Sus scrofa: one gene and its partner. The protein of the gene in region 1 purifies or fractionates together with the protein of each later gene. This does not show direct contact. Links are inferred from orthologs where the notes say so. Each region holds a gene or a part of one and is shown on either strand. Other genes may lie near its edges. The genes, in order: COX6B and CHCHD4.

Region 1 (4,472 bases):
CATGAGATTGCGGATTCAATCCCTGGCCTCGCTCAGTGCATTAAGGATCTGGTGTTGCTGTGAGCTGTGGTGTAGGTCACAGATGCGGCTCAGATCCCACATTGCTGTGGCTCTGGCGTAGGCTGGTGGCTACAGCTCCGATTAGACCCCTAGCCTGGGAACCTCCATATGCTGTGGGAGCGGCCCAAGAAATGGCAAGAAGACAAAAAAAAAAACAAAAAAAGTATATATTTATATATATATATCTCAACGTGGCTGGAGGGAGGACCATGGGTCAGTTCACAAAGGATCTGCGGACAACTATAAATATAATAAAATTCATTGAATTAAAAAAAAAAAGGATCTGTGAACCATATTAAGGAGCCTGGACTTTGTTAGAGGGTTTGGGGGGGGGGTTAAACAAAGAAATTTGGGCTTTAGGAAGATCTCATTGAAAGGGATGAATGCAGGCATGTAAACAAATAATTACAATCCTGATGAACACAGAATGCAGGAGGCCCCCAATCCAGTTAAGCCTGACACTGCCAAGTATTTTATTGGGTGGCTACTTGCTCTCCGTCCCCCATGCAGTTAGGATGGTGTAGGCCTGGTACGCAGCCTCCAAAACATAATGTGCCTTCTAAGGTTTGGGGAAACATGATAATAAGCAGGAAGATGGAGTCTGGGCATTCCTCATATAGGGATGAACGACCCTGGGAGAAAGAATGGCTTGTTTTTAATTCCTTAAGAATGATTTGTTTGCAATCCCCAGTAATTGAATTTCCAATTGGAAGTTCCAATTTTCTTTTCTTTTTTGCTTTTTAGGGCCGCACTGGTGGCATATGGAGATTCCTAGGCTAGAGGTCCAATTGGAGTTGCAACCGCCGTCCTAGCCACAGCCATAGCAACGCAGGATCCAAGCGTTGTCTGTGACCTACACCACAGCTCACCGCAACGCTGGATCCTCAACCCACTGAGCAAGGCCAGGGATCGAATCCGCAACCCCATGGTTCCTAGCTGGATTTTTTTCCTCTGTGCCATAACGGGAACTCCTGGAAATTCCAATTTTCCAATTGACCCAGTAATAATCATAACGAGAATAGGGATTTTTGTGTTTTCTTCAGCTATGCGTCCCAACACTTAATAGAAATATTTGGCACAGAGTAAACGTTCAATAAATGATTATTGCATGAATAAGAGTATTTCCGTTGGGATAGTTTCTCCACAGGGGGACTCTCCCTCCAGGACAGGACCCTGAGCCCTTCTCTCTCGGTAAGGACGGGGAGGAGACGAGACTGCGCCCACGGCTTGGAACCGCTTCAGCTCACGATTGGGCTGGGAGTGAGGACGAACAGGCATTCGGACCAATAGAAGGTCGGAGTTCTCTTGCATGGGCGTGGCCTAAGTGCTTCTGGACCAGCCCAGCCCCGCGGAAGACTCCCTTGTACCGCGTCTCGTCCCGCTTCCGGCCGGTCTTTATTCCGCTTCCGGTCCGACGCCGGCGTCTTTGCTGAGGGTCACATTGAGCTTCCAGCGGTTTCAGGCGCGACTCTAGGTGAGTGTCGAGGCCTCGGGGGCCTGGAATCCCAGCCTGGGGACTCAAGAGTCCGACCCTTGCTTCCCAGGGAATGAGATGAGGTTTCCGGCCGACGGCAGCAGGCCTCCCGGGCCCGGGGGGGTCTCTTCAAGTTAATAGTCGTAGCTAACGATTATTTAGTTTTTCCTCAATGCCTGGAACATTCCAGGCGACTTACATTGATTCATTTAATCCTCCCTCCAGCTCTATGAGGTAGGGCCTGTGATTATCCCTTTTTGACAGGGAGGCAACCGCAGTTCAGACAGTAAGCGGTTTAGCCAGAGGTCAGGATTTGGACCTAGTAGTTTGCACTGCAGGGCTTTTAATCACCAGATGTACCCCCTGTGGTTTGCCTGGGCTGTGGCATGGCTTCTTGGTGTCTGGCGCCTCCACCCCCTTAGACGTTGGAGGGGCCACAGCGGTACTCCCAGTCTACCGCACTCCTGAAATCGGGTGGATCTCGCTTCCAAAATAATTCTTCCGATCGTGTGTGTGTCCCAGCTGCTGGAGTTCCAGATAGCCCCGCTCCCGGAAAGACTCCATTTCGATGGCCCCGATCCCTACCACTACCTTGAGTCGCTTGGATTTAACATCAGTCCACTCACCTCTATGTAATCCCAGGACTTCTCTAATCATCTGGAATAGAGGCAATTTCTTTCAGGTTCCCTGACGAAAACTGTATCACCTCATTAGAAATTCTGTCATAGGTTTTTAACTCTGGGTTCACAGAATCCATAGAATTCAAGGGGTTCTAGTTCTTGAATGGGGGAAATTTTACATCTATATTTTTACTAATCTCTTATTGAAATGTAGCGTTTCCTTCAGTTAGGAGTGGAGGCAGTGGCCATAGTCGTATTAGCATCATTAAAACCACAGGTCATCTTATATCCCATTACAGTTGTAGATGTCACAAAATATCATTTTCATTCCTTTTTTTTAAGGCTGCCCCCAGGGCATATGGAAGTTCCCAAGCTGGGGGGGTGGAATCGGAGCTGCAGCTGCCAGCCTACACCACAGCCATAGCAGCTCAGGATCCTTAACCCACTGAGCAATGCCAGGAATCAAATCCACATCCTCATAGATTCTAGTGGGGTTCGTTACCACTGAGCCACCACGGGGACTCCCTCACTCATGACTATTTCGAAATTGTGTAGTTAAGTCCTCAGCTGCATATAACGGTTTTCTTTGTGATCCTTTGCAACTTCTAAATACATTTAAACATATTCTGAGAAAGGGTTCATTAGATCCCTGGGGAGTTCATGGCAGGGATCAAGATTAAGAACCCCTGCAGTGTAGGTTATGTCAGTGATGGAGTGCAGCTCCACGGCATGTGTGCTCTCTGACCTTGGGATGTCACTTAAACACCCTGTCTCTTTGTGAAACAGTAATAGTAATAGTTCCTGCCTTTTAGAGTGACTGTAGGAATAAAGCATCCTTGCCAATAGTCAGCACTCGGTGAGTGTCAACTAGTGTTATTTTGGGACAGATAAGGCCTGATTTTACCAGAGAGTTGAGCCCCCCACCCCTACCCTGCTGTGACTTCCACACTTTGCGTGTTCTTGCCTGCCTTTCATCTCTGTGTGCATGTTGAAAGGAAGGGGGCCTTGGCCTGGCTTGACTTGGTCACACCCAGCCTGTTCTGCATCCAGCCTCCACTGGGCCTGAGTGGACTGAGAGCCCTACCAGCATCCATTCTCTTTGGCCCCAGGAGTCAGCACTATGGCAGAAGACATCCAGACCAAAATCAAGAACTACCAGACAGCTCCTTTTGACAGCCGCTTCCCCAACCAGAACCAGACCAGGAACTGCTGGCAGAACTACCTGGGTGAGCAGGACATGGGTTGGAGCGGGCGGGGGCAATGTTGACCTTCCCCTGGTCCCACACCTCAAGTCACCTACCTCTTGCCTCCTCCTAGGGGTCCTTCTGCATCCTAGGCCACTTTTATTCTGAACATTCCTACCTTGCAGGGCCCACGCCCCTCCTCACCAGCTGTGTGTTCAAGATCTGGGCCAGTGGCACAAACTTTGGTTCCCGCAATGATTTTGTGTTTTGTTTTGTAAAAAACAAAAGGTTTTTTTTTTTTTTTTTGGCCATGGCATGCAACAGTTTGACGTGGGATATGGGATCGCAGTTCCCAGACCAGGGTTTAAACCCAGGTTGCAGCAGTGAAGCTCTGAGTCCTAACCACTAGACCACCACGAAGCTCCCCCTCGATGGTGTGTGTGTGTGTGTGTGCGCGCGCGTGCGCGTGTGTGCATGCGTGCATGAAATGTACATACATACAGGAGGAACATAAAACATAATGTACAAGTAAATTAATAAACTCGAATTCCCCCATGAAACTGTAATTTGGAAGAAACCTAGATGCTGCCAGCACTCAGAGCTTCCCTGCCTACTGCACTCCCTGTCTTGAAAATAGCGCTCTACCTCCCCACTGAGAGGGCGATCACATTTTGGTTTTATCACCGCTTTTGTCTCTTTGTGAATGTTATAAATACTGTGTGTATTCCTTTGTGTTTGGATTTCTTCAACAGTTTTCAAGATTCATTGATGCTGTGGCATGTATTTTGCTTGCTCTCTCTCTCTCTTTTTTTTTTTTTTTTTTTTTAAGGGCCACCCATGTATATGGAAGCTCAGCCAGGGGTTGAATTGAAGCCACAGCCACAGCAACATGGAATCCAAGCTGCATCTGGGACCTACACTGCAGTTCATGGCAATGCCAAATCCTTAACCCATTGATCAGGGCATCGAACCTGCATCCTCATGAATACTAGTCAGGTTAATTACTGCTGAGCTATAGCAGGAACTCCTATATTTTGCCCATTTTTACTGCTGTACAGTTTTTTGTTTTGTTTTGTCTTTTTGTCTTTTGTTGTTGTTGTTGTTGTTGCTGCTATTTCTTGGGCCGCTCCCGCG
Region 2 (4,538 bases), on another chromosome or scaffold:
GAACCTATAGTGCATTAAGTGTGTTAAGCATGGTTTTCCTTTAAATTTCAGGTTAACTGATCCTATGAGGAAACATAAACCTCAAGAGATTAAGACCACTTGTCAGCCCGACTCCAAAGCCTGCTACGCTCACCCAAGATGTAGCCTGCCAGGCTGGCTCTGCAACCCTGGGCAGGGCCTTTCTCTGCTGGGAAAGTTCCCTATCTGTAAAGTGGTCATTATGGAGGGGGGGCTGGCGGTCTCCTGACTGCGCTCTGCCGAGGGAAGACCCTGGGTCTCCCGGACCACCTCTGAGGCTTTTCTAGGTGCTTTTTCAAAGGCTTCTTGGCCTCCCAGACAATGCAAACTCAGGCAAAGTGTGCTGGGGCTGTGGGTGAGGCAAACCCTGGCTTCTCAGGGGGTGTGGAAGGCAGAGAGGACCTTGGGGACAGAGGAAGGGCCTGTTAAGAGGGTGTGAAAGGCCAAGAGAGAGAGTGGTTAGGACATGCCACCAAAGCAGGAGGGAGGGAGTGCCTCAGCTGGCTGGGCTCCGAGCTGGCACCAGAGGCACTTTTGCAGAAGACAGGAACATGAGTCACCAGCTTCTCCCACACCCAGCACCCTGTTGGCAGGTGCCCCTCGGTTTGTTGAATGAATGTGGGGCTTAAATAGAAAGGTTCCTCAGAAAAGCAGGGAGAAAAGCAGCTGCCTTTCCAAGGGCACCGCCCTCAGCCAGGGCCTTTCCAACCAAGCCAAAGCCAGGAAGACGAGGGGCCAGCAGTAGGGAAATGCTCCCTCTCCCAGTCATGCTAACTCCTCTGCTCCAAACTAGTCTGCCCCTCTGCACAACATCAGAGCCTTGGTTTACATACTCCCTGGAGCGGGGACCTCAGTGCCTGCTAGGACAGTGCGTTTCTGGACAGCTTCACCAGGGCGATATCTGCCTCCCCACACACCCCATGGGGGACTCCTGTCTGAAGTCCCGTCCAACTCTCAAGTCCGCAAATGTGAGAATCCCAAAGGCGCAGGCGGGAACCGAGAAGGAAAGAAGGAGCTGCGCGGAGGCGCCGCACATAAGCGGACCCGGAGACAGAGCCACACCTCCAGAGGTTGCGTCTCTACCACCACGCGCCCCCGAGGAGGACGTGGACCACCGGGTGCTGACCGCACGTACGGACGACCTGGCTGCCCTGCCGGAAGGAGCGGACCCGGGAGCGAGAGGGAGGAAGGGCCGGCTGCACGGAGGCGGTTAGCCGCACAAGGGGCTACGGCGGGCGGCCGGGAGAGTGGACGAGGCAGCCTGGGTGTGGCCGGCGAAGCCGGGGACACTCACGTTCGCAGCCATGGCAGGATCCGGTCACCGCCCGCCTCACTCGGCTCAGCAAGAAAACGGACTTACGGCTGCACCACGGAATCCCGCCACCTCTCGACAGCCAGATGGCGGCCAAAAGGCGCGGGAAGCCCGGAGCCCTAGGATGCGCTACAGAGCAACGCCCCGCAAGCCGCGGTTTTTCTGCTCTCGCCCGCCGCGCCTCCTCCTGGGAAACGTAGTCTGGTGCCCTCTCCGGAAGTTGCAACCTACCCGGTACCTCACTGGTGCACCTGCGCATTGCAGGTCATTCTGGGAATTGCAGTTCCTTCTGTCTAGGGAGTTGCTCGGCGGCGCGCGGCCTGCTGGGAAATGTAGTTCCCGGTTGAGAAGGCCGGGCTAGGAGCTCCGAGGCAGGCGCGCGGAGGGCAGGCCTGGAGGGGGCGGGTCCGCACGGGCCTCCCAGCCGCCCGCCTCGCCGGGGAGAGGTCACGGCGTGAGGCAGCCACCGCGATCACCGCGAGGTTGGAGCGCCGGGCTGCACTATGGCCTACTGCCGGCAGGAAGGTAGGAGGGCGGGGTACCTAGAGACGGCCTACGAGGGCCTGCAGGGAACAGGCGGATTGTGCGGCCCCCGCGCCCCACCACTGGTGCGGAAGATAGTCCTCGGACCCTTGCGTCGGGTCTCCATCCCCGCTTTACAGATGGGCAGCGGGGAGAAGCGAGGCGGTCCAAGGTCACCGTGAGGCTCGAACCCGGACGTCTGAGGGACCACCACGTGAGAGAGCTCTTAAATTAGGCCTGGGGGTCGGAGGAGTGCGAGCGCGCTGCCGCTGGCTCCTAACGGAGAGTTTATAGGTATTAATTGTTACTATGGCGCTTACCCACACCACGTGTTCCGGTTTGCGCCGCCCGTCAACAGTCCTGGAAAGTCGCCCTCGGCGTGCTCTGTGCTGCGGCGTGGAGTACCGCCCGAGGGGACCGGTCAGGCGCTGGTGCGCCCTAAGCCAGGCCCTGTTCATTTCCCGAGAGTAAACAGCGACCCAGAGGTGACTAGGCTAATGCCATGATGCCGGCAAGTCCGGAAGCTGGGGTTGGACCCCCGCGGTCTGATTCCAGAGCTGCCCAGCCTGGTGACCAGTGGATTCCAGGGAGCCTTCCGTTGGGAAGACAACCCCCCAAAAAAACAAAACTAAATAGGTTTCTGTCTATGGTCTCTCTCCTTGTTACCTCTCCTGGAACCCCAGAAGTCTCCAGGCCAGGGGTTCGAGGGCCTCCGCGCACAACCGCTAACTGGCTCTTTGTCCCTGAGCTGTCACCCAGCCCCTCCAAGGCCCAGTGTTCAGTCTTGTAAAATGAGAAGTAGGCCTTCCTTCCTTCTCCACATATTCATGAAGCACCTTTTTAGTGCCAGGTGAGGGTGATGGTGAACACCTGAGACTTTAAAGCTCCAGAGAGAGCTGGAACTCTCCCTGAAATTCTTTAATGAATAGTCTAGCTCCCTCAGGTCATTGAGGGACCCTTAAGCCCAGAGATGGAGGTGATCTACCCAAGGTCATGCTTAGGTAGGAAAACAGCTCAATCTAAAATGCTAGGCCTTTCCCCCAGTACCCCATTCTGCTTCCAGAACCCTCCTTCCCTGGGTCATAAAGTCATAATACTCACGATGTCTCTAATGAGTGCTATTTTAATTGATTGATATTTAACTCTGCCTTGAGCAAAAGTCCTCTGCCCTCACCGCTTTGTTAGAGAGTAGGTCTCTTGTTTTTTATTGCCTTCTGAGTCTACTTTACTTCATCATTTAGCAATTTTTTTTTTTGAGCCTTGTGGGCTTAATGAGGCCATGCAGATAAACAGACCCTCCTTGTCCCTGAGGATTTCTGGAAGTCCAAGGCAGGTGTTTATCTACCACCAAATGGTAGGTCATATCTTTTCCTGGGTCAAAGATCTCTCTTAGTATTGGGGGTGAGAACTGAAAGCATTCATTTTTAGGCCTTCCCTAGTTTTTAATATTATCCATGCCATGGTCCCCTAAATCCTAAAAAACTTCTTTTCTACCTAGCAATTCTTTCTGTTTCCCATGGGACTTAGAGAAGTGATCCCAAACGCCTGATTGAGGGCTTGTGTGATGGAGCCCCCACCTGATCCGTCCCCAGCTGGTCTCTAATCACCCACTGCTGACCAGCCACACTGGCCTCAGCTGTTCCCTTTGCCTGGGTGCATCCTTCCTCCAGGTCTCTTCCCACGGCTGCCTCCTCATCCTTTAAGATTCAGCTTCTCAGTAAGGTCTTTCTTGACCCTTTGTGTCTTTCACTTCCTAAACTATGAAATTACCTGATTTGTTTTGGTCATCTTATTTCCTGTCTTCTAGCAGCATTTCCTGTCTTCTGAGAGCATTAGATGGGCCATACCCCTGGCACCTGGCACCTTTACCCAGTGAACCCGTGCATACGCTTTCCCTCTGTTCTAAGTGAATCACATTGACTTCAGGGGTGCCCTGCCCCTATCCCAGCCTTTGGAGTAAAGGCCTCAGCTGGGTGTTCAAGGTGTTGGGCAGTGTGGACCCAGACTAGCTCCCTGGCCATGGGTAGCACTGTTCTTTCTCTTCTAATGTTGACCCCGCTTCTGTTCAGCTAAACTTTATTGAGCACCTGTGAAGTACCAGCCACTGAGGCATGGCTTTGGTCATAGGTGGGCCATCTGCCCTCATGGTGTGGTGGGGGCTGGGGGGGGAACCTTCCTGGGTTGGATGTGCTGAGAGATTCTGATGTGTAAAGACCCACACGTGTCCTGGGGAAAATGAGACCACCCATCCAAGGGTTTTTTTCTCTAACCTGCTTCATGGTGATAACCTTTCTCTGCTGGGGCGGAGGTCTTCATGTTCGAACCCAGAGTTCAATTTCTCCATTCACGTCTTCAGCAAATACCGATTACCCACTATGTCTTGGGCACTGTTCTAGGCTCTGGAGGTGCTGCAATGAATGGAGCAGACATTTCAATTTCAGTGGGGGTGACAGGTGGTAAACAAATATGTAATTGTAAGGTGAGAAAAAGCAGGTAAATGGTGATGGGAAAGGATGAAGGAGGATGGCATCTGAGCAGGAGGTATGAAGGCAGGGAGAAGGTGGCTGAGAGGGGATCTCAGTGTGTTCCTAGGGGGCAGACAGCCTGTGCAAAGGCCCTGAGGTAGGCGTGTGCTCAGCACATTCAAGTAGAAGCAAGGAGATGCTGAGTGGAGGGAGAAGTGGGG

Evidence for each region.
Region 2: the proteins of COX6B (region 1) and CHCHD4 purify together in Homo sapiens (co-immunoprecipitation; 3 studies listed by BioGRID and IntAct, with this or other methods). This does not show direct contact. The link is inferred for Sus scrofa from reciprocal best matches to the Homo sapiens genes COX6B1 and CHCHD4.

Annotation. Positions count from the first base shown.
Region 1 is NC_010448.4:45,090,450-45,094,921, forward strand, and holds the start of COX6B (cytochrome c oxidase subunit 6B1), read left to right. Parts: upstream 1-1,379; 5' UTR 1,380-1,534; intron 1,535-3,149; exon of another isoform or gene 3,150-3,263; 5' UTR 3,264-3,274; coding exon 3,275-3,380; intron 3,381-4,472. UniProt on the Homo sapiens protein: Component of the cytochrome c oxidase, the last enzyme in the mitochondrial electron transport chain which drives oxidative phosphorylation.
Region 2 is NC_010455.5:70,415,665-70,420,202, forward strand, and holds the start of CHCHD4 (mitochondrial intermembrane space import and assembly protein 40), read left to right. Parts: upstream 1-1,661; 5' UTR 1,662-1,833; coding exon 1,834-1,855; intron 1,856-4,538. Other genes in the region: TMEM43 (transmembrane protein 43), read right to left, coding at 1,313-1,324.